7 linked regions of the Kluyveromyces lactis genome follow. Each later gene encodes a partner of the first gene's protein in a complex. Links are inferred from orthologs where the notes say so. Each region holds a gene or a part of one and is shown in the gene's direction. Other genes may lie near its edges.

The links.
Region 2: MRPL40 (region 1) and MRPL35 share a complex: the UniProt entries of both Saccharomyces cerevisiae proteins name them as parts of the mitochondrial large ribosomal subunit. The link is inferred for Kluyveromyces lactis from reciprocal best matches to the Saccharomyces cerevisiae genes MRPL40 and MRPL35.
Region 3: MRPL40 (region 1) and MRPL28 share a complex: the UniProt entries of both Saccharomyces cerevisiae proteins name them as parts of the mitochondrial large ribosomal subunit. The link is inferred for Kluyveromyces lactis from reciprocal best matches to the Saccharomyces cerevisiae genes MRPL40 and MRPL28.
Region 4: MRPL40 (region 1) and IMG1 share a complex: the UniProt entries of both Saccharomyces cerevisiae proteins name them as parts of the mitochondrial large ribosomal subunit. The link is inferred for Kluyveromyces lactis from reciprocal best matches to the Saccharomyces cerevisiae genes MRPL40 and IMG1.
Region 5: MRPL40 (region 1) and YML6 share a complex: the UniProt entries of both Saccharomyces cerevisiae proteins name them as parts of the mitochondrial large ribosomal subunit. The link is inferred for Kluyveromyces lactis from reciprocal best matches to the Saccharomyces cerevisiae genes MRPL40 and YML6.
Region 6: MRPL40 (region 1) and MRPL10 share a complex: the UniProt entries of both Saccharomyces cerevisiae proteins name them as parts of the mitochondrial large ribosomal subunit. The link is inferred for Kluyveromyces lactis from reciprocal best matches to the Saccharomyces cerevisiae genes MRPL40 and MRPL10.
Region 7: MRPL40 (region 1) and MRPL32 share a complex: the UniProt entries of both Saccharomyces cerevisiae proteins name them as parts of the mitochondrial large ribosomal subunit. The link is inferred for Kluyveromyces lactis from reciprocal best matches to the Saccharomyces cerevisiae genes MRPL40 and MRPL32.

The regions. Positions count from the first base shown.
Region 1 is NC_006039.1:834,683-837,970, reverse strand, and holds MRPL40 (mitochondrial 54S ribosomal protein uL24m), read left to right. Parts: upstream 1-1,415; coding exon 1,416-2,306; downstream 2,307-3,288. Other genes in the region: NIP100 (Nip100p), read right to left, coding at 1-342; CDC31 (centrin), read left to right, coding at 611-1,114; HNT3 (DNA 5'-adenosine monophosphate hydrolase), read left to right, coding at 2,538-3,288. UniProt on the Saccharomyces cerevisiae protein: Component of the mitochondrial ribosome (mitoribosome), a dedicated translation machinery responsible for the synthesis of mitochondrial genome-encoded proteins, including at least some of the essential transmembrane subunits of the mitochondrial respiratory chain.
Region 2 is NC_006040.1:1,119,259-1,122,900, forward strand, and holds MRPL35 (mitochondrial 54S ribosomal protein mL38), read left to right. Parts: upstream 1-1,686; coding exon 1,687-2,778; downstream 2,779-3,642. Other genes in the region: KLLA0_D13068g (M1 family metallopeptidase), read right to left, coding at 1-604; KLLA0_D13079g (uncharacterized protein), read right to left, coding at 896-1,162; TIM11 (F1F0 ATP synthase subunit e), read right to left, coding at 3,411-3,642. UniProt on the Saccharomyces cerevisiae protein: Component of the mitochondrial ribosome (mitoribosome), a dedicated translation machinery responsible for the synthesis of mitochondrial genome-encoded proteins, including at least some of the essential transmembrane subunits of the mitochondrial respiratory chain.
Region 3 is NC_006039.1:1,299,914-1,302,587, forward strand, and holds MRPL28 (mitochondrial 54S ribosomal protein mL40), read left to right. Parts: upstream 1-1,283; coding exon 1,284-1,727; downstream 1,728-2,674. Other genes in the region: LFT1 (Lft1p), read left to right, coding at 1-363; KLLA0_C14916g (uncharacterized protein), read right to left, coding at 407-667; KLLA0_C14949g (MFS transporter), read right to left, coding at 2,174-2,674. UniProt on the Saccharomyces cerevisiae protein: Component of the mitochondrial ribosome (mitoribosome), a dedicated translation machinery responsible for the synthesis of mitochondrial genome-encoded proteins, including at least some of the essential transmembrane subunits of the mitochondrial respiratory chain.
Region 4 is NC_006042.1:571,348-574,213, forward strand, and holds IMG1 (mitochondrial 54S ribosomal protein bL19m), read left to right. Parts: upstream 1-1,661; coding exon 1,662-2,177; downstream 2,178-2,866. Other genes in the region: BUD23 (18S rRNA (guanine1575-N7)-methyltransferase), read left to right, coding at 549-1,352. UniProt on the Saccharomyces cerevisiae protein: Component of the mitochondrial ribosome (mitoribosome), a dedicated translation machinery responsible for the synthesis of mitochondrial genome-encoded proteins, including at least some of the essential transmembrane subunits of the mitochondrial respiratory chain.
Region 5 is NC_006038.1:120,010-123,468, forward strand, and holds YML6 (mitochondrial 54S ribosomal protein uL4m), read left to right. Parts: upstream 1-1,854; coding exon 1,855-1,893; intron 1,894-2,061; coding exon 2,062-2,811; downstream 2,812-3,459. Other genes in the region: snoRNA-binding rRNA-processing protein UTP6, read right to left, coding at 1-1,282. UniProt on the Saccharomyces cerevisiae protein: Component of the mitochondrial ribosome (mitoribosome), a dedicated translation machinery responsible for the synthesis of mitochondrial genome-encoded proteins, including at least some of the essential transmembrane subunits of the mitochondrial respiratory chain.
Region 6 is NC_006039.1:1,033,118-1,036,495, reverse strand, and holds MRPL10 (mitochondrial 54S ribosomal protein uL15m), read left to right. Parts: upstream 1-1,621; coding exon 1,622-2,551; downstream 2,552-3,378. Other genes in the region: WSC2 (Wsc2p), read left to right, coding at 1-739; KLLA0_C12111g (uncharacterized protein), read right to left, coding at 2,725-3,378. UniProt on the Saccharomyces cerevisiae protein: Component of the mitochondrial ribosome (mitoribosome), a dedicated translation machinery responsible for the synthesis of mitochondrial genome-encoded proteins, including at least some of the essential transmembrane subunits of the mitochondrial respiratory chain.
Region 7 is NC_006042.1:1,182,256-1,185,051, reverse strand, and holds MRPL32 (mitochondrial 54S ribosomal protein bL32m), read left to right. Parts: upstream 1-1,364; coding exon 1,365-1,922; downstream 1,923-2,796. Other genes in the region: septin CDC10, read right to left, coding at 1-821; KLLA0_F12804g (uncharacterized protein), read left to right, coding at 2,401-2,796. UniProt on the Saccharomyces cerevisiae protein: Component of the mitochondrial ribosome (mitoribosome), a dedicated translation machinery responsible for the synthesis of mitochondrial genome-encoded proteins, including at least some of the essential transmembrane subunits of the mitochondrial respiratory chain.

The DNA.
Region 1 (3,288 bases):
AACTGACTTGAGTTTAACTTCCAATCTTCCAATGATCTTTTTCAATCGTTCGGGATCTGATGAGTTAGAATTCGTAGTATCAGGATCCTGAAATTGTTGCGAGTTCGGTGCAGAATTTTTATAGATACCCTCTCTTCTACTGAATATACCATACATCCGACCTTTTCTACCCTCACTGAGTTCAAAGTACCTGACTCCCTTGACGCTACCATCGTTCTTCCCTAAGGGTTCATCTAACTCAACACCGATCCAAATCCCCGCTGCAAACTGCGTCTCGCCTATAAACCGTACAGTTCCTGCCAGGCTGCGTAGCACTACCCTATCTCCTAATTCCAGATCCATTGTTTCATTTTAGAACTAAAGAGTAGTTGATCTGGCAGTACTGTAAGGTATTCATCAGTTATTGCCTTCATTTCTTTCAGGATATGTGTTTATGTTCCTTAAACTCAATATTGTCAAAATAATCATAAACATGAAATCTTTAAACATATTTTAAAGAAGTTTCACGAAGTTTACGCGTGCAGCAAAAGAGGTAAATTAAGAGGTTCGATTGACTTACAGCCAAGACTCACAACGGCAAGAAATCTAACCCAATTCGGATCATAGAAACATGAATAACAGAAGGCCCAGTGGACGAGTAGCGAAATCCGTGGATAAATCCACTTTACAAAAGGAATTATTAGAAGAACAGAAACAAGAAATATACGAGGCGTTCTCACTCTTTGATATGAACAATGATGGATATCTCGACTATCATGAATTCAAAGTCGCTCTAAGGGCATTGGGTTTTGAACTCAGTAAAGGAGACATATTAGAACTTATCGATAGGTATGATGCAGACGGACGCCGGTTAATACAATACGAGGATTTTTACCTGGTAGTAGGAGAAAAAATATTGCAAAGAGACCCATTGGATGAAATTAAACGTGCCTTCAGGCTATTCGACGATGATAACACGGGCAAGATCTCATTGAAGAATTTGAAACGTGTAGCTCACGAACTAGGTGAAAACCTTACAGACGAAGAACTACGTGCCATGATTGATGAGTTTGATCTTGACGATGACGGAGAGATCAATGAAGAAGAGTTCATTGCTATATGCACTGACAATTAGTGCTTCACGACCATTTCCATTGCCACAGCTGGAGCCCTGTGCCGCATGTATATCTCACCTTGTATATCCTATGTAACATCAAGCTATAATACTAAATCAAATGCGAAGAATCTGATAGTCTAATTCGGATCACGTGCTTTCATTTTTCCCTTCCAAAAAAATTTGTCGATGAAAAACTTGAAGGAACGGAATCAAGAAAGACATATGTATCAATATGGTACTATGGAATGAACCACAAATGGTTTATGTTCTGTGAAAAGGACGGTGGTATTCGATACTAGAATAAAATAGATCAGCGGGTATGTCTTCATATAAACATTTATCGAAGGCTGGTGCCCGTTTTTTGGAGCAAGTTCAAGCGAAGAACTCTAATATTGCGAAACAATTTGCCAAGTATGAAGGTTTGACGATGCCAGAGTTCTTGAAACCATCGTTGCCTCGTGTCGAAGAATCCGAGAAGTATAAGAGTGTAAAGCAATGGAAATATATGCCAGGTGATAGAGTGGTGATAGTAAATGGAAAGTTTAAGGGCAATGTTTGTGCCATTACGCAGCACGACGTGCATACAAACGGGTATATTTTGGATGAGAATGGACCCACCAACACTGTTCCTGTGCCCAAGCAATTTTGGCAACAGGGGCAGAACAGTCATATGGTGAGTTTCCCTGTCCCCGTGAGCCAAGCGGACATCAAACTAGTCGCTGATCTCGATGATCCAGAGACTCCAGGTGTGGCTAAGACTGTTGCTGTTCGTGACATCGAATTCAAGGGTTCGTATTATGATTCAGATTACAAGAAAATTATGCCATATAGGGTTGTTGTTGGTGAGAACAATATGGTTGTTCCATGGCCTAAGCCGGAGTTCAAGCCAGATGGTGCATTGGCTACGCGTTCTGAAATTGCACGTCAACAAACTTTCTGGGTTGAAAGCGTAGTAAAAAATCCTGTTCCAGAAGCAGCATTGTCAACCATCCGTAACCCTAAGTCGAAATACAGAAGAGGTACCTTGACAACGAAGGAAATATCAAGATTGGTGGCTCCAAAAATGCCTCTAACGGAAGCAAAGAAAAGATACATCGAACAAAGAAAAGAATTGGCAGCATTGCCAAAACGTAAATTGACTGATGAAGATCAAGAATTGATTGGTGACAAGGTCTACCAACACTTCAAGAAATCTTTCGAATTACAATAAGAATAAATAATAGTTTTGGCTAGCACTTAACTGCCATTCGTATCCACGCTACTTGTACATAGATCATAATATCATACTTCATCGCACTTTTATCTGACTTTTTTTTTTACTACATGTTTATTTTGAATGGAAATCTATACGTAAAGGTCATTACTTGTAGTAACAGACCTCAACAATTTATGATTATAGTAATGACTAAATGATTAGATAACTGTTACTAGTTCATAACAAATGGATGAGTGCGGTCCAATATATGTTATAGAATGGAAGGAAAGTCCAGGCGATCAATGGACTATCTCAGATAAATCGGGGTTTACGACTCATTTATTCAAATTAAATGAAGACGCCAACAAAGATATTGTGTACTGTAAACATTGCCGAAAGCAGTTCATCGGCAAGAACAGAGATTTAATTGGTTTCCATATGAACAAAATCCATCCACAAATCACAACTGGAATGACTTATAATCAGTATCTGCAGATTTTCAAACCCACTTATGTACCAAACGCCCATGGTGACGAGAAAAACAGGGAGAACTCGTTCAGCATAGGTCTCAGACCGTACGTTTTGTGTCCAGAACGATTGCCTGAAGTACTCTACTTTGACGACATAGCGACCATTATACATGATAAGTTCCCTAAATCTGAAGAACATTTTTTAGTTTTGCCAAGAAGTCATAAGATCAGCAATTCTCATCCCACCACAATCGACAATGGCATCAAGGTGCAGCTTCAATGGCATATTGATTGGGCTAAACGATTCTGTTGGACTCAATTCATAAAAAAATATGACATAAAAGATATATCCTTGAAAGAGAAAGAAGCTTTCTTGGCGAATTTTGTCCAATCAGGAGTACATAGCACTCCATCAATGGCTAATACACATATACATGTCATGACAAGAGATTTCCATAGTAAGAAATTAAAGCACAAAAAGCATTTCAACTCTTTCAACTCCCCGTTCTTTATACCATGGGATGAAC
Region 2 (3,642 bases), on another chromosome or scaffold:
GATAAGTAGACATTAATGGTGTAGTATGGAATCTATAAGAAATTTGGTCTGATTCTGTCAATTTCTTCGTGCACTTCAGAGGCATATTAGCTAACACAGTGTATTTCTCATGCGCGATAATGCATATGTCAAAGGTTGCCTTCAAAGAGGGTTCATCGAAACATGGGAATGCTCTGCGAGCATCCGTTGCCTCGAACTGAGTGGAAAACATTACCTTATTTTCACCGGTAACAAAATCAGTATAATCTGAACGGTAGAATCCAGACATATTAGTCTGAATCATACCCTTATAATCGATCTTCAACACGAATTCATCATCAGATATACTCTCCGGAAATTTCAAGGAAACAACATCGTTCTCTAAATCGAAACTATGGTCCTTCATTCCCAAAGACACAGACCCCTCTTTCAGTTCAACCACCGCAGAAACGATCTCAATGTCCCTCATATTCAATGAAATCATGTCATTGGCATTAACAGTGGACATAATAATACGCACGGATCCGATAAATGAATTGTGCTCAGCATCTAACTCACTCAATTCAATCTCATAATGGTTGGCCCTAAAGTCGGTTGGTAGAGTTTGAATCTTAACGTCAGCCATCTTTCAGTGAATCAGGTATAAACTATTCCAATACCTAATTGGTTCTCTGGATATATCACCCCAGTTGTCTTATATAGTGAAAAATCCAATATGAAATCAAAGAGTAGGTGTCATTCAAAGCTTTATCAAAGGTCTTAAGTGTTATCAATCTGTTTTCGTCAATGTGTCAAAATTTTTTTCTACCTTCCCTGCTGAAAAGCTCAGAAGTGAGCGTAGAAATTTTGATATAAGACGGAGTAGTATGAAAAGAGAAGCTCCTCCATTATCCAGCAGCACAACTGCTCATACGTTTCACCTCTTGTGTAGTTTTGGCAGTAGTTTCTTTGACCTATTAAACATTTTGCGCAGTATTGAAGAAGACCGTCTCTTTAGCTGATCTCCGACATCAGAGTCAATTGAGTCGCTTATATCAGAATCGGAGCTGAACATAGAGGGAAAAGCTCTCTCTGTTGGAGTTTGTGTATCAAACTGCGAGTAAACTTGAAGTTTAGATATTAGTATGGTAACTGCCTCGACATCGTGCCTTAACTCTGTAGAATTCGGTTCTGAACCGTTCATATTTGATTTAATAAGCTTTTGAATATTATACAGGATAATACAGGGAATGAGAAGTAAACCTACAATGCTGATTGGCAAAGGGTCTTTATACCAGGAAAAAGTTGAGGCATCTTGTCTTTACAGATCTGAAACAATGTCGCGATGAGCATTCTCATATAAGATTCGTCGTTTCAAACATAAATGATCATTATAATCCGCATATAGGAAAGGGAAGAAGAAAATATACAAAGAAAGATGGATATGATGGGTTCGCTGGATCAGAAGAGCGTCATTTGCAACATATGAAACCGAATGGCAGTCTCAAAGGCAAAGCTTACCAGTTATTGATCTCTGAACTTCCACTTGGAGCGAGAGGCACGATCTTCTGTTACCCGGACTGAAACACATTAAAATTTTTTGGTGAAAAATCGATTTCGAACGATTCAGATGAGTTTTAAGTATGAACGGACAATGAAGATACATGAATAATCAGTTGTAGGATCCCATTGGAGGGTGTTTCAGAGACTAACAACTCGAATTGGAGAATGTTGCGTAGAGGGTTGCACAGCAGTGCCAAATGTTTAGAGAAAACCGGGGTATGGTCGGACTTTTCTAAGAGATCCAAGTCGCTTGGTTTAGCATCAGAATCGATTAAGAAATACATCTTTCAAGGCGACAGCGATGACGTTAGAAGACGAGGTCCACCGTCTTTGAAGCGGAGGATGAACCGTTTGAAGTATACCTCTCCTGAACATATTGATGAGATGTTCCGCTTGAGTTATGAGTTTATGAGTAAGCGCGCTGAAGAGAAGTATTCGCAACTAGAAAATGAGACTGATGCCAAGGTACGTGCTAAGTTAGAAACAGAGGCTGAATTGCATAACCCAGAGGTCCAATACAATTTTCAGTATCATGACAAGTTAGAGAACGATACTAGAGTGATAGATTATGCTGTTCCAGTGTACAGGCGTTTGGGGCTGAAGCATTGGGAATCCTACGAAAAAATGTTGTTAATGCAAAGACTAGAGACTTTGAGTGTAATCCCCGATACGTTACCTACTTTACAACCAAGAGTACAGGTTAATTTACGTTTCCCATTCAGTACTGGTGTGAACAAATGGGTTGAACCTGGTGAAATTTTGTCCTCCAACACGACTTCGATGGTTCCAACAATTAAGATTCAAGAGTACGAGAACGGTATCGACTTCGAAAAGCAAAAATACACTGTGGTAATTGTGAATCCAGATGAACCGGATGTGTTGAATGATACATTCAAGACGACTTTGGCGTTCGGTTTGACTAATTTAAAGATAGACTATAACGACAACGTGGTAGATCCAAGAAAATACAATGAATCGCAGATTCTTGCAGATTACATTCCTCCAGTACCTGAGAAAAATGTTGGCAAGCAAAGGTTCTCTGTATGGGTATTCAGACAGAATGGTGATTTGGAATCCCCTGAACCAGTCGATAGAGAAAACTTCGATATTAGAGAATTTGTTCGTTCCCACAACTTGGACCCGGTTGGTGCTCATGTTTGGAGATCAGAATGGGATTCTAACGTGGCAAACATTAGAGAGAAATACGGATTACCAGAAGGGAGAGTGTTCCATAGAGTTCGTAGATCTGTTGTATGAAAAAAAAAATGAAAGTTTCCAGAAAGAGTTTATTTCCTCCTCGTCTCTCTCGCGATATATATGATTACACACTTTTCAACAACCTCAGGTGGTCTGAATAATATCTCATACCTCATGTAAATAATATGCAATGTAGAAAATCAATGCAACATACGCAAATCATAAAAAAAACTAAAAAGCTTGTTCGAATCTATTAAGAATATGATCATTAGTTAACATTTATTCCCGGTAACATAATAAATTATATAGTAATAATACGGTGTATGGTGCGTGCGTTCATGTGCGTCTGTTTTTTTGGACTGCCTCTGATTGAATATTTTCCTAGAGGCTATATATAGAATCTTCTTTTTTTTTGGCTGTTTCTTCTTCATATGTTATTGTATTGGCTGTAAATCTAATCGTAACAAAAAAAAGGATTCGTGAGGTCTTTCGTTCTTAGTCGAGGAAAGCAGATATAACTCTTGTTGTCATCATTTCTTGTTGACTACCAGAATTCAAACAGAGAATACAACCTTTTATTTTTCTATTATGCTTCAGCTCGGAGTTATGCATACAAGTTCCTTTCCCTTGTTACACAAAAGAGAAAAAAGAAGAATTAAACACACCTCTCCTTATTTCATAAGTCCTGTTGCTTATTGCTTCAAGGATTCAACAGCGCTCAAGATGACCGAAGCATAATCCAAGTTAGGGTCCTCCAAATCAATCTTGGCAGAAGAACCAGCAGTAGCAGCCTTAATTTCCTTCTTTGGTGGGTGCAACTTGGCGTATTCTGCCTTGGCTTGTTCCACTAATTTCAATTGAGCGTGCAATTGGTTTTGTTCTTCTTGCTTTTGAGCTTCTGACTTCAAAGACAAGTCAGTCTTG
Region 3 (2,674 bases), about 460 kb from region 1:
CCGAAATTTAAAATGGATCCCTTGGAACCATTTGTCGCCAAAGCTTTACCGAGAGAGAAGAAGAAGCGACCAAAGGAGAAAAGGAAGAGCAAATTTTGGTTTTGGGGATCCCTTACCCATCATACTGACGAAGGAAACCACAGAGACAAAGCTAGGTCGCCAGAGCTTGAAGATTATAAAATTGGTGTTGTATCACCGAATTCGCGGTCCCCCACGTTATCGATTCCTTTCTCTGATCCCGATAACACTCAGACTATTACCAATAACGCAGTATCGGACAACATTAACCATCACCTGTCGCTAATAGACCTCGACGATGACGAGGAACACTTAAAGTGTTCAACGCCACCGTTAATACTGTGATACGTACTTTTTTTAGGCCTAATATATTTATTTCTCATCCTATTTAAATATCATCTACATTAGCACTGTAACTATATACCTTTTTTTGAGCCGGCGTTATTATAACTTGTTCTCTGCGTACCGGGGTAGCCACGATTGCCTCTGGTATGTGGTTGGTGCTCATATGACCCACTTGATTGCAATTTTCTGCTTGCTCCTCTCGTAGTGCCTTGTCTTCCTTAAGAACATCTGTATACGTTGGAGGATCCTCTGGCAAGGAACTTTTCTTCTCATCAGGATATTGCTTCTGATCGTCTTGAGACATCTTTCCGTAAGTTTGAGTTTAACTGTTTACGACTCCGAATGTTGGTCCAAGGGAAATCTCAACTCTTCGAACAGCGTCGGTTCTGATTGCCATTAAAATATATTGTCGTTTCTATACATTATAAATGGTTCAAACAGGGTCCTTGATGTGCAGATTTCCCTTTAAAACCTTACAAATGGCGTAATGCTATATCATCATATATCAGATGTAAAGATGAAAAGAAGGAAAATATGATATCTAAGGTATTCCAGGCTTTGTTAGATTCAATTTTTCATTATGTGAGGTGGCATAGCAGGTAATCAAGACAAGTCGGAAGTTAATCACCTACCAGCTAGTCGAAGGGCAGCTACTCCCTGTGTACTTGAACCTTTTTAGGTCACGTGCAAAAGAGTTTAGCAGTCAAAATAATCAACAGTTCCGGGTAACAGACATTTGTTTGTTCAACATCAGTAACTTTGAAAAATTTTGAAGATTCGATGAGGTTTCAGTGAGTTTATTGTTAGCTTTGACAATAAATTGAATGACGATTAAATACGGGTTGATTTTCTGCGATAAGTTCGTGTGATAGCATACAGCTTCTCAGCCAACCGAAAGGATCATTAATACTCCATCCACTATGCTAGCGAGTGCAGCATCTCGTAAGAATGCCTTGAAGGTAGTGCAACCCTCTTTGAACTTTGTTCGTGGGAAAAGAACTAAATCGAAAGGTGGATTAAATCCTCAAGCGCAAAGAATCATTACACAACTCTCTGTTATGTCTGCTAGCAGGAAACAGCCAAAACTTTTAAAACTTTCCCGTGAAGATTTGATCAAACATGATATGATTCAAGCTTGTTGGGCGCAATATCAAAGGGAACTGAGGGAAAAGAGAACAAATCTCTTGAAACTACAGTACGAGAATATAGAAGAAGCTATGAACTTATTAGAACAGGTAGATCCCGAACTATATGAAATGGCTAACGCTGAAGAATCAGGTAAGAGGGTCCCATTGGAACTAAGGGTACCTACTCAATACCCACCGAACAATGTGTGGTATTATGATTACAAGAAAAAGGATTGAATAGTTCGTTTCCAGGCATAATGCATTAAAGGTAGAGCACGAATCATATTTCACATTATCTCTTCTAGGACACTTTTTTATCGGTACACCAAACGTGGGTTGCTCGAGAAACAACTTGTGTGATCTACAGGCAAGACCAAGTGCCACGCAATAAAATATAATGGAGATGTTGCATTATATATTGTAATGAAAGAGTTAGATAGAAGAAATGTAAACAAACCATGTAAATAAGCAATTCTACGAAATGATTATCGGCAGAATGAAGCTCTTAAGCTTTTCAAAGGGGACTTTAACCGTATTCCAAAGTGACAGTGTACTTCAGAAAAAAACATGGCTTCTGTGTATACATCGGTTCGAATATGAATAATGGTCTTGTTTACAAATAGCATTATTCATTTGACTTAGATGATTTTAGCTTGAATGGGTACATGGTTAGCAAAATGGCATCACCATACATATTTTCTCCAGAATGATTTGCCTGCGGTGTTTTCAACGTTTGGAAGTAGCAGCCACGACAAAATCATTAGTTGAAACAACCCAAGAACAATAGGGAAGAGAACCCATGTACCTGTGCGATCAGAAATAAGCCCAACTACTAATGGAACTACAGCACCACCGGAAGAACCCATTGAAGTCATGATCAATAACGACTGTGATAATATTTTCCTTGGTAGAATCTTGGGATGCGACACTAGAGCAATCATTAAGGGATAGATTGGGCCTATAAACAATCCAGATATTGTTGTACAAACCGCAGAAACATAGAAGTTTGGTATTAACCACGCCAAAAGCAACAATACTGAAATGTTTAACGTTAGTAGGAAAATGGAACGACGACCACCTAATTTCTTGTATAATAATGTGGTCAAGCAGAATCTCCCTAGAGTTAATCCACCCCAATAACCAGATGCTATATAACCTGTGCTGTTTGCATTACCATGACGTTC
Region 4 (2,866 bases), on another chromosome or scaffold:
GAAACTTCCAAAAATGTCTGTTAAAAAAAAAGCAGAACTCGCTCGTTATTCTAATAGTTCGTACACTTGCAAAACTACAGCTTCCAATGCGCTTCTGATGTTGTTATTTAACATTCTCAGTTTACCATAACTTCACTTTATCTTAACATTCAAATTATCGATCATCCCTTATGTATATTTACGCAAACAACGGTAATTTAACAAATATGCCACATAATGCGAAATATTCCAAAACTTAGCCGATTATACTGATCAATACAACAGTAAAAGAGCATTAGGCGCTATACTGAATGTGATAGTAAGGACTTGTAATCTTATATCTACTAGCTTGATACGTTCCCTATTGCACGTGACCACATTCTTTACTACAACCAAGTTTCTTTTCCGAACGTTTGATTCAAAATTTTAAAGCTCATCTCGGTCATCGCCAAACATTTACGAACTAACAATGGCTACTTGAGCAAGCTGTTTGCATTGATATGCTCTGTTAATCAACTGACGGGAATAAAGTATAATAGGATAACAATTACAAGAAGTTTGAGATCGAAATGTCACGTCCAGAAGATTTGGCACCACCAGAAGTGTTTTACAATGACAGTGAATCTAAGAAGTATAGTGGCTCCACAAGAGTGCAACATATTCAAGCTAAAATGACACTTCGGGCCTTAGAACTTCTCAACCTGCCACATACATCATATATCTTGGATATTGGGTGTGGGTCTGGTTTAAGTGGTGAAATCATCACTGAAGAAGGACATATATGGTGTGGATTAGACATTTCTCCTAGTATGTTAGCTGAAGCGCTAGAAAGAGAAGTTGAAGGTGATCTTATGTTACACGATATAGGTCAAGGTATTCCATTTAGAGCAGGTGTATTTGATGCGGCAATTAGTATATCTGTGATTCAATGGTTATGTAATGCGGACACATCGTACAACGATCCAAAGAGAAGGCTCATGAGGTTCTTCAATACACTATTTGCTAGTTTGAAGAAAGGAGGAAAATTTGTAGCACAATTCTATCCAAAGAATGATGATCAAATAGACCAAATCTTGGGAGCAGCAAAAGTAGCTGGATTCTCTGGTGGCCTTGTCATTGATGATCCCGAGTCCAAAAAGAACAAGAAGTACTACTTGGTATTAAGCTCCGGATCTACAGAACAGAATGAACAAGTCAACTTGGATGGTGTTAAGATGGATGCAGATCTAATGGTAAAGAGAGAGCGTAAAAAGAAACTAGTTGAATCAAGTAAGGATTACATCAACAGAAAGAAGGAGGTGATGAAAAAAAGAGGTAGAAAGGTAGCTCTCGACTCGAAGTTTACGGGTAGAAAGAGAAGACCTAGGTTTTAGTATGGTCTTGCATATATAGAATTAGTAGATACGCACTTAATACAATCAGCAAACATGGACTGAAACGTTATCATTCATTCACCATTTTCCGTGTCTATTGCATCTGCCATGATCAAAACGTTTAAAATGATCATCAAACCTATGTTGTAGTTTTCCATAGAAAGAACATTCGAAAATTTTGGTTAAAAAAGATGGAAACATAAGTACCTAAGAGTTAAGAAAGCACTGAAGCGCAGTTTATATTTGAGTTTAAGCCTTTACTACCCGTCAGATCAAGTTCCCATTCCAAAACTATATTAGTCCCATACAATGTTAAAGAGACTACTACCTACCGTTATCAGACAATCTGTTAGAAGTTATCAACTTCCAGCTAAGAGTGGAAGAAAGATTATTCCAGTTTACCCACCAGTTGAAAGAATATCCTCCCCATTAGTAGTGAAGACTCTAGCTGATCATGATCTAAAACAACTTGACCCAACTGGTGTAAAAACAGAGATGGTTTCAAAGAAAAACCCAAATCGTCTACGTGCAGGTGATGTTCTTCGTGTAGTTTACGATTCCAAGAAATGCAACTACGATAGTTTTACTGGATATGTGCTATCGGTAGACCGTAAGCCAATAGTACAAGACACATCCATTCTATTAAGAGATTATATTTATAAAACCTGTGTGGAAATGAGAGTGCCAATCTTCTCACCATTGGTAGAGAGAATTGATTTGATTAGAAGAGCGGATGGTAAGAGACGCAGAAGTAAACATTATTACATCAGAAACACCAGATTGGATGTCGGAGATTTGGAAGCAAGTATGAGAAAGAAGAAATGAGCACATTCACACTATCAAACACTTGCTGAATTTTCATAAAATGAAACATGTACATAGAAGCAATTCAAACATATAGTAAGTAATGCTCGATATCAATGCAAACCCAAAGACAAGGAAGATTCAAAGTTGAAAGAGCTCCAGAGTTGAACCATAATGCAAGGTACTCTATGCAGGTCCAGCTTCTCTAGGTAAAGTTATTTGTATCATTAGCATGTCGGGTGGATATATAATTGTATAATCTGTAAAATAAAAAGGCGGATTATGCTAGTCCTTATACCTCATCAAGTGCATCCAATAAGAAAGGAAAATCATGAGAAAGGATAAGCATAAGAAAGGATTTGTACGCTCTATCTAAAACAAAGCTGCATTGAGTGAGCAAGTTGCTCTATTAGAAATGAAAAGATTACAAGCAATTTTGGTCCGCATTTTTGATAATTTATGAAGGTTCTTGATTGGTTCAAAAAAGTAGTGGTATAATGTTATGAAAGCCGTACCAGCCGTCTCTATTGAAAAAAAATTGAAATAAGCTGACATTAAAAAACAACCATAACAGGTAAGGCAGCACGCCCGCATTTTTGATCTCGTGGATGGTTGCGCCACGATGCAATGAAACTGTTACAATAATCAATGATAAAAAATAGATCTTCTTTTATTAACTTGTCATGACATAGAATAATGTGAGACAAAAT
Region 5 (3,459 bases), on another chromosome or scaffold:
AACCAGAATATAATGTAGTAAGTTGTTTGGCATTCGTCTCATCTAATTTGCTGATGTATGCAGAATACTTTTTGAAGGACAATTGGAGACTGTCGATGTTTAATTCGCCGGCAGGCATGAATTTGATATTTAATGTAACATCATGCAATAATAATTCCACATATTTTTCTGGCATACTTTTCTCAAGGGAAATATTATAATGTTCGTCCTTTAGCCATTGCAATACGTGATTTATCAGATATTCTCTTTTTAAATCTTGAAATTCCGAAAATAAGTTGATATACTCGAGGCATCTATCAAACAGGTAGGACATAACGTTTCTGCTGAGCTCTTCATCGACTTGCGAATTGGTAACGGCGTAGTATCCTTGATGTTTCTTGACAAAAGATGTGCCCAGATTCTTCATTGCGATATCGAATATAACCAATGCGACATCACCACGTAGTGCTGGATTAGTTTCTTCTGATCCAAGCATATTCATATCGGCTTCTGGTAACTCGTTTAGTTTATCTTTCATCTTGTCACCAGTACTTGGAAGTTGAATTCCGTCTTTGTCAAAGTATGCTTCGTCATCTGCAGTTTCTTCCAGACCTGTTACATTACTGGAGTTTCTTCCTTCCTCTTGCTGTTGTAGCATATCTAGCTCTTGTTCCCTTTCGTTGATTAAATTCATCACTTTTCTTCTATTTAACAATTTTGTCACGAAATTCAGTTCGAATTTAACGTACTCGTACCAGAGTTTAGAAGCATCTGGATTAAATCTAAGACCAGTTTGAAAAACATTTCTACAGCTCTTGAAGTTTGCGTGCAATTCGTATTCATATTTAGCACATGATATCCAAACGTCAACGTTTGTTGGATGTAATTTGAGCAATTGATTGTAGACGTTTTGAATCTTTTTATAAGAGGCATTTGTACCCTTTGATTTTAAATGATTCAAATATAAAGACCAAAATTTCAATTTTTTTGGGAACTTATTGCAGCCTCTTTGGAAAATATAGAGAATCCTCTGCTGTATGGTAAAATCCGAAATACTATTTGATTTGTTCGATTGCAAGATACGTTTAACACGTTTCATTCTTAATGCATCGACATTCTTCTCGTATTCAATATATCTGATGTAATCACTTATACTTGAACCTCTCGAACTCAATCTGTGTTCAAAATCAGTCCTTTTCTTCATAATTTTGTTTACTTCATTCTTAGTGAATAACTTCTTCTGCACTAAGTCATCAACTTCTGGAATACATTGTTCCAAGTAATATCTTGTTCTGGATGACATCGCCTTACTCTGGGTAGTTTTATGTTAAGTATTGATTAAAGTGTAATCACGGAGACTCGTATCGCTCGCTTACTGACAAAGGAAACGACTACTGGCTTTGTTCATGCTAAATAATACTGAGATGAGATGAGATGAGCCTTGAAGCTTTTGAATTTTTTTGGTTATATTGATTTCTTTTTCATATAATCAGTCAGAATAAAGTCCTCCATTTAAATAACCATCGATGAATAACAAAAGGACAAGTACAATTGTTGTTCTGCTAGCGTAAATCGGATTTTTTTTTACTGCAAATTGAATCCGCTTACATATGACATTCGGGACTACCATAAACTGCGACCCTTAATGTCGTTGTATGCTTTCATACAAGATGACAGTTTTGTTGATCGTTAATTCGGGCAATTTAACATTACCCGGATATTTTACATGGTAGACAAATTTTCGATAATCAAAAATCTGAATATGAAATAGGTTGAATACTAAAGATGATTGATTTGTTTGCGGTGATCAGACATAGGAGTGTCCAATTGATCCCCTTTGTATCGAGACATTAAGTCAGTGTATCAGAATCAGCCATGTTTTCCAAGAGACAAGGTTTGAATTTGTGCAAAAACGTATGTCAAACCCATTTTCATCACTGTTGCAATGGTAAAGCGCGGGCTTTCCTCAAACTGCATGATGATATCCTTCCGCATTAAGCAGTTATATCACCTACTTTTAGAAGATCGATTTACTAACTATTGCTCGTAATTTTTTGTTACTCTTTTCCCTATTCTCTACAGGTCCGTTACGTTTCCAACAAACCCCTTCCTAATGCTAGTCTACCGCCAAAATATACCTTAGCAACGGTTCGTTCATTCCCATCATTAGAACCATTGACATTTGCACCAGTGCCAACCTCAGTATTTGATGCTCCATTGAGAAGAGACTTACTATGGCGTGCTGTTGTTTACGAAAATGACAGTAAACGTGTTGGGTCTTCTAACCCCCCAGGCAGAAGTGATGTTGGTTATTCGAGAAGAAAGATTTTACCACAAAAGGGATCTGGTATGGCCAGAGCTGGTGACGCTAATTCACCAATAAGGCATAACGGTGGTAGAGCTCTAGCAAGAACTGCACCAAATGATTATACCACAGCGCTCCCAAAGAAAGTGTACTCTTTAGCATTCAATAACGCACTAAGTCATCAATACAGAAACGGTAACGTCTTCGTCATCGGAAGTGGTGACGGAATCTCCGAAACAAGCCAGGCTGATCTAAATGAATTGGAAATTCTTCCCATCGGGGAGGGCTCAGAAGATGGCGATATCGTGTTCGAAAAATTCCTAAAGCACTATGAGCTACAGAACAAGAAGCTATTATTCGTTATTAACGAACCAAGGCCAGGATTATTTTCATTTACAGAAAGATTCCAAGATAAAGTTAACATCGTCCAAAAAGAATTTGTTGATGTCAACGATCTACTTAAGGCTCACAGAATCTTTATTGAATTGGAAGCTTTAGAATACCTGGCTGTTACTCACGTTGTTTGATTATGGAACGAGATACTGATCATCAGACGGGAGTTAAAATAAAAGCTTCGAATAATAAACTCCACATTGCACCAACTCATCCACAACTTGTATATATATGTATGTGTGTATATTAACGTCACAAATAAAATGAAAATAGCTACACGGCTGTTTATCTAAGTTAGCGACATCCGTATTTGTAAAGACAATTGACCAATGCTGTGGCCATCATCAAGCTGTAAAATCCAAATCGAGGACAAACAGACGCAACCATTTCGGACTGTTGTCGGAAGCCTTATACACCCGTGCATTTTATTATTTTCAATGCGCCTATAACCGAATAATAGTTTAATTTTTCCTTTCCTTCAAGTTTCCTGATTAGGAAACCCATCCAACGTTTTTCAGACTTTGGGCTGAGTTTTCTCCGTGCCTAAGGAAAGACAGGGCATTAGGTGTGCCGACGCCTCGGTTCTTTCCAGTTTCTCCTCCCCGACAGAATTTCCATCCCCCTGATTCTGCTTCTCCTACCGACACCTTCTGCTCCTAGGCTGGGAACATGCACCACTAGACCGATCTTGCTCAGTGACAGAGTATGCTGGGCCTCTGTCCAGTTCTGGTTTGTGCGGTTGTGAGACAATCGTTCTATAGTGGTTTTACCGAATGGCAAGT
Region 6 (3,378 bases), about 200 kb from region 1:
TAGCACTGATAGTACGCTTTCATCTTTGTCTAGCTCCATCGCCTCTACTACCAGTCATTCAAAAGTTGTAACAACACAGGTTTCAGTCATTACTTTAAATGGTGAGAGTAGGAGTATTGTTGCCGTTACAACTACAAGTACCGTCGTGGCAACCACAGCCGAAGGTACCAACACTGCAAACTCTAAAACGGAGTCAAATAAATCTTCATCATTGTCTAATGGTGCTATCGCTGGTATTGTTGTGGGTGTTGTTTTGGGTGTGTTACTGATCGCAGCAATTATCATTTTCTTCATCTGGCAACAGCGAAAGAAAAGTAAACGGTCAGACTTCGAGGAAAGTAAGCATTACCAACCTTATTCGTTTGGTCAAGAAGAAGACATCGTAGTCCCACCAGTTACCGGAGGTGGATTTGGCGCTGCTGCTACTTTACCAAACTCTCATTCAGCATCATCATCCTCTGATAGATCTGGTGTAAGTCAAAATAGGGAGAAAAGATTGGATAATAATGGAAACGAAATCAGTGATTCGCAAATCGTTAGTCCGTTTGGAGAAACTATGGATCAACCAGACCTAACACAACCTCCTGTACGTCCGACAATGGGAAATCCTAGATTCAGCAATGGTTCTTTACCAGATGTAACTCAACAAAGGCGACCGCTAAGAATCGCCAATCCAGATGAGCTGGATGATGAGGATACAGAATTCAATTCGATCATCGAAAATCTCAGGGGAGATTGATCCTGATACAATATAACATCATCTTTTTAACACATTTCGCTAAGATAATAGCATGATATACCCAATATCATCCCCTTGTTGTTGTCAAACAAAACAAACGCCAAAAGGAAATATTCCAAATATAAAACATCAACTAAGGCCCACAATAAGCCATGTTCCATACTCACTACTGATACTTGATACCCCTAATGAAAACTATCAACTGAGGATCAGTTAATTGTCTAACACTATAAACAAGACAAGTCACAAAATATATCGAAACGATTTATGTTATACTGATAAGTTGGGCTTTCACATATGTACATATATAACGTTATAATACTCATTTAATTTCTTCACATTTTACTTCAAGGTATCTTTATAATGGTTAATTGTCATGTTTACTGTCGGGAATTATTGTGCTACATTTTCATCTAGGGTAATTGTTTAAGGGATCCAAAAAAATGCTTCCAACCAGAGTCGAACTGATGATCTCCACATTACTAGTGTGGCGCCTTACCAACTTGGCCATAGAAGCTGTTTCTTGTCATAAAAAGAATTTACCACTATATACTCCTACGAGATTATTGCCTGCTACCAATTCTTTTCTGGTGGACCTAACCTATTTTGAACTGAGGAATACGCAGTTTATAATGTTACAGCTACATTTTTGAAAAACGTGATGCTAAAATAATAGTAGGTTTACTGAAATAGTTTCGGCTGTTTCAATTTGTCAATCTGCTAGGCGCATCTAAACACTTACATCAGCATTGCATACCCTCTTATCGTCTCCAAGCTCCCTCTGTGTCCTAGCGAATCTCAGCATTTTAAAAGGTTACCCGAATACCTAATTTCGAAAATTTTTTAGAATGAATATGGTTAACTTACAAGAAATTACTGGAGATGATTTGGATATTCAATGAATCTACTGGATATCTACTATTATCGATATTTAATAGCCCTATCTCGAGGTCTCACAATACTAGCACGATGTTTTCGATCAACAAAGTGGTGAATCCCTTTGGATCACTTATACAGAGATCATTTGTACGCCAAATCACGATCCTTGGTGGTTTAAAACCTGGTGAAGGCTCTAAGAAGAACTACAAAAGATTGGGTAGAGGTCCATCCAGTGGCAAAGGTAAGACTGCTGGTAGAGGTCAAAAGGGTCAAAAGGCCCGTGGTTATGTAAAATCATGGTTTGAAGGTGGTCAAACCCCAATCTTCAAATTGTTCCCAAAGCTAGGGTTCACCAACGTAACATCACTAAAATTGAAAGAATTAAACCTTGATAGAATAACGTGGTTCCACCAAAAGGGTCGCCTACATTTGGAGCCAGGTGAAACCTTGACGATGAAAAAGATGAAAGAAATCGGTTTGGTTACCGGCCCGATCAAAGATGGTATTAAGATTCTAGGTGATGGTAAATTCTCTTATAATCTTCCAATCAAGATTGAAGCTACTAGAGCTTCACAGGATGCAATTGAGGCAATCGAACATGCAGGCGGAAGTTTCACTGCTCGTTATTTCAACCGTCTTGGTCTAAGAGCCCATTTATCACCACATTGGTTCCTAGAAAAGTACGGAAGAGTTCCTCTACAAGCTAGACCCACAAAGAGGAAGGATATTGAATATTACTGTAACGAAGAAAAGAGAGGTTATTTGATTATGGAAAATGACCCATACTATCAACTTTTGCAGAAATCCAAAGATGAAGGCGGTAAAAATTTGGTTGCTCGGAAGACCAAGAAGTCCAAGCTTGAGTTGCAATTAGAGCAACTTGAGAACGATTTTGCTCCTGCTTCTCCAAATTCTGAAATTAAATCAAACTGAACATCATATAGCAATATAGAAATGCCCTGTATATAATACACATCATTCAACGCCATTTCTCCAGATTTATACACCATATCAATCAAATTGATATCTGTATTCACAAGTTGTAGCAACTTTTGTCTATTTAATGCTCTAAAGTCTAAAAATATAAGAATGAGCTTGTCTCACTTTTACACATCGTTTTGTGGAGTAGAAGACTCTGTGTTTTTGTTGTCCAACAATCTTTCTTCGAGAACCTGTAGGGCTAACTTTTTCCTTCTTTCTTCCGCTTCAGAGCCTTCAACAGGCTTAGCACCCCTCTTTTGAGCCAAAATGTTAGCTTGTTCGATATCGTATACTCTAAACGGAGTTGCAATACGCCAATCAACAATAAACTTCTGGTAAAGGTAATCAAATATTGGCTCAAGTACTGGTTTGACTAAATCCGGGAAGAAATATATCAATTGGAATGTCTCAGAGGCATCTCCTACCACTTCAAATTCAGCATCCTCAGCCATCGAAGCAGGTAGCCTCTGATAGAATCTCAAGTAGAAATAACAGGTGAAAAAAGTGATCCAAATTGATAATAACTGAGAGAAGTGGTGGAACCACAGAAGTTGCACAAACGAAAGCACAAGTAGAGTAAATATTGGCAGGAGTTTAAATCTGAAATTCTTGGAAATGAAAGGTAGATTCTTAGTCTCGAAAATGGTAGTTTCTGGGAATAACTGTTTGTAGATAATAGGGAACCCCACCAAAATTGTATAATTACCATCCAATGGTAAATCCAACCTTATTGCTGACGAAAACATTGATAAAATTATTGTAATTAGAACGACAATTAA
Region 7 (2,796 bases), on another chromosome or scaffold:
TCGACATTGATGGCACCCCAACGAGTTTTTCTTCCTCTTACTAGTTCACCGTTCACTGTAATCTCCTTTTCAGATCCTACAACGGCAAATGGAATAATAGATCTTATACTTTTATTCAGTTCCACTTCTTCATCGGTCAGATCGTCTAAATCATATGGATAGATTCTGAAATTGTACTTTTTAAATTCTTCTTGTAAGATGTTTCTGAAGTTAGCTCTCTCATTCAACGTCAAAGTATCAGCTTTAGCGATCACCGGGATAACATTAGCGATTTCTGTCAATCTCTTCAAAGCAGCAACGTCAAGTTCTGTTAGACCCTTACCGTTAGGTTGGATGAAATATAACACTGCATGTACTCGAGTGTCTACAATGTGTCTTTCACGTTGAGCAGTCAACTCTTTACGTAAATATTGAGAGTGTTGCTCCTTGATGTACTTGACAATAGGTTCCCAAACTTTGTCGTTATTTATCTGGTCACCAAAACCTGGAGTGTCAATCACGTTCACGTTCAAACGTACACGGTCTTCCAATAAAGAATGTGTTGAAACCTTGATCTCGGTGGTCTTACTAATTGGTTCCTGAGTGATGTCCTTACCAGTAGAAGAATCAACCAAGTGAGATGCAAACAAAGTGTTGATCAAAGTACTCTTACCCAGACCAGAATGTCCAACGACCATAACGTTGAATTGAAATCCTCTCTTCAACAAACGATGTTCAATCTGTGAAGTAATCGAATCAAACCCAACATAAGAAGATGGATTTACCAAAGCCAACCCATCAGAAGAAGAAGTCATACCAGCTGCAGCAGTACTAGATGCCATTGTTTTTGTTTATGCGTGTATTTTACCTTTAATAATTCCTTTCGCGTAGTAGAGATGTATATAAGTCAAATCCAAATGATCAAAGCTTTACGTGTTTTAGTGTTTGGAAGTTAAAATAATGAAAAACCTCTAAGTTATAAAAACAATTAACCGCAATAACAAAAATTCAAACAATGAGTAGCAATTAACCACAGAAACGTCAAAAAAAAGTAATCACAATCTTACTTATTCTAAAGAATACAAGATCTGATTCCTTACTTATATTTTGTTGACACACTTATTTCGTTTCGAGTTCCATTTTTAGTTTTTGTGATTTTTCGTCTTTTTCATCGAAATCGAAAAAGGGACACAGATCATCACCAAATCAGGGTAATGTTGAAAATTCTTTCTTATAATCCAATTCGTCAATACCAATTTGAATTGACGAAGTTCAAACAGAGTTAGACGAGCGACCTAGAGAAACTAGTATCTGTCCCTATCGATTGAACTTATCCTTTCTCCTCTTCATCATAGTATCATACCAGCAGCGAAAATAATTAGAGGATGTCTTTTGGAGCTGTAACGGAATCTTTTAGCAGAGTGTTGCTGGAAACAGCGACATCAATATTGCCTCGTTGGAGCACTCCAGCAGCTGGTACTGCATTGCCACAGAAACTGCTGGAATTGCTTGAAAGAAACCAACGTGAAAAGTCTTCACCTCAAGCGGATTACTTTACGAATAACGGGATCCTTCTAGCTGTGCCCAAGAAGAAAGTGTCGCATCAGAAGAAGAGACAAAAGTTATATGCGCCTGGAGACAAACAGCTGAAAATGATCAACCATTTGAACAAATGCCCTTCATGTGGGCATTACAAGAAGGCACATACGCTATGTATGCATTGTGTGGGTGAAATCCGTCACATCTGGAAGGCTCACACTAACGTTGAACAAGTGGAGCCTATTCAAGAACAAGAGTTGTCTGAATTGGACAAGCGTATCTTGTATCCTGGTAGAAAAGAAACTGAATACACAAAGAAACTGAAGGACAAGGATGCTTATTTGGAGAGACGTATGAAAACTCTGCCAGTGGAGAGATCTGAGAAGAAAGAAGGATCACATTAAACCCTCTTCTCATTGAATCCAGTACAAAATAACACATCGGCGGAAATGACTAAAAAAAAACAACCTTTTATCAAGTTCAATCCCCCCATCACCTTGTATATATATGTCGAATACACGTCCCAGATTTTAGCAGGTTATTTCAGTGTCAGCATTCACCTCCTGTAGTAATAGTTAGATTCATTATCTCATCACAATCAACTCTACATAGAATCAAATCACATACAAAAATTTTCCTAGAGCAGGCTTGATGCCAGGCCTAAAGGCGTGAAAATCAGTCGAGAAAAGATCAGATTGAAAAGAAAAAAATCATGAGTGAAAAGATTTGAAGTAGCGATGAGATGAGATGAGGTGCGAATACACGATACAGGATTAAGCAGGACCTGAAAACTGGCATCAGTTTAACAGTTTGGTCTGATATTGGTTGTTTTGTTTTGTTTCACTTTAAATTGACAATAAGGCTGACAATTTTCCATACAGTATGACAACGACACGACAGTTCAAGAAAGTGAAAAAGGTGCCAAATTACAGGATTCCTGTATTTACCAGCATCCCAACGCATCCGTTAGGGGTAAAACCTAGCGGGAATTCTTTATTAGAGGGTGCAGATCCTCAGGAAACTAGAAAGCTTAGGAAAAAGCTGTTAGGCTCTCTGTCAGTGCTACCAGAAGATCTTATAATCGAAATACTCGCATATATCGATGATCCAAATGACTTGCAGAACCTCGGATGTAGTTCTAGGATCCTTTACGCGTACACCTACGATGAGGAACTATGGAGAAAGATTTATACCAAGGAGTACTTGAAGTTGGAATCGGAAAGTCCAGAGCAAGAGCGTATTTCGCCGTTTGGATGTTCAAGGTGGAGGGGCTCGTGG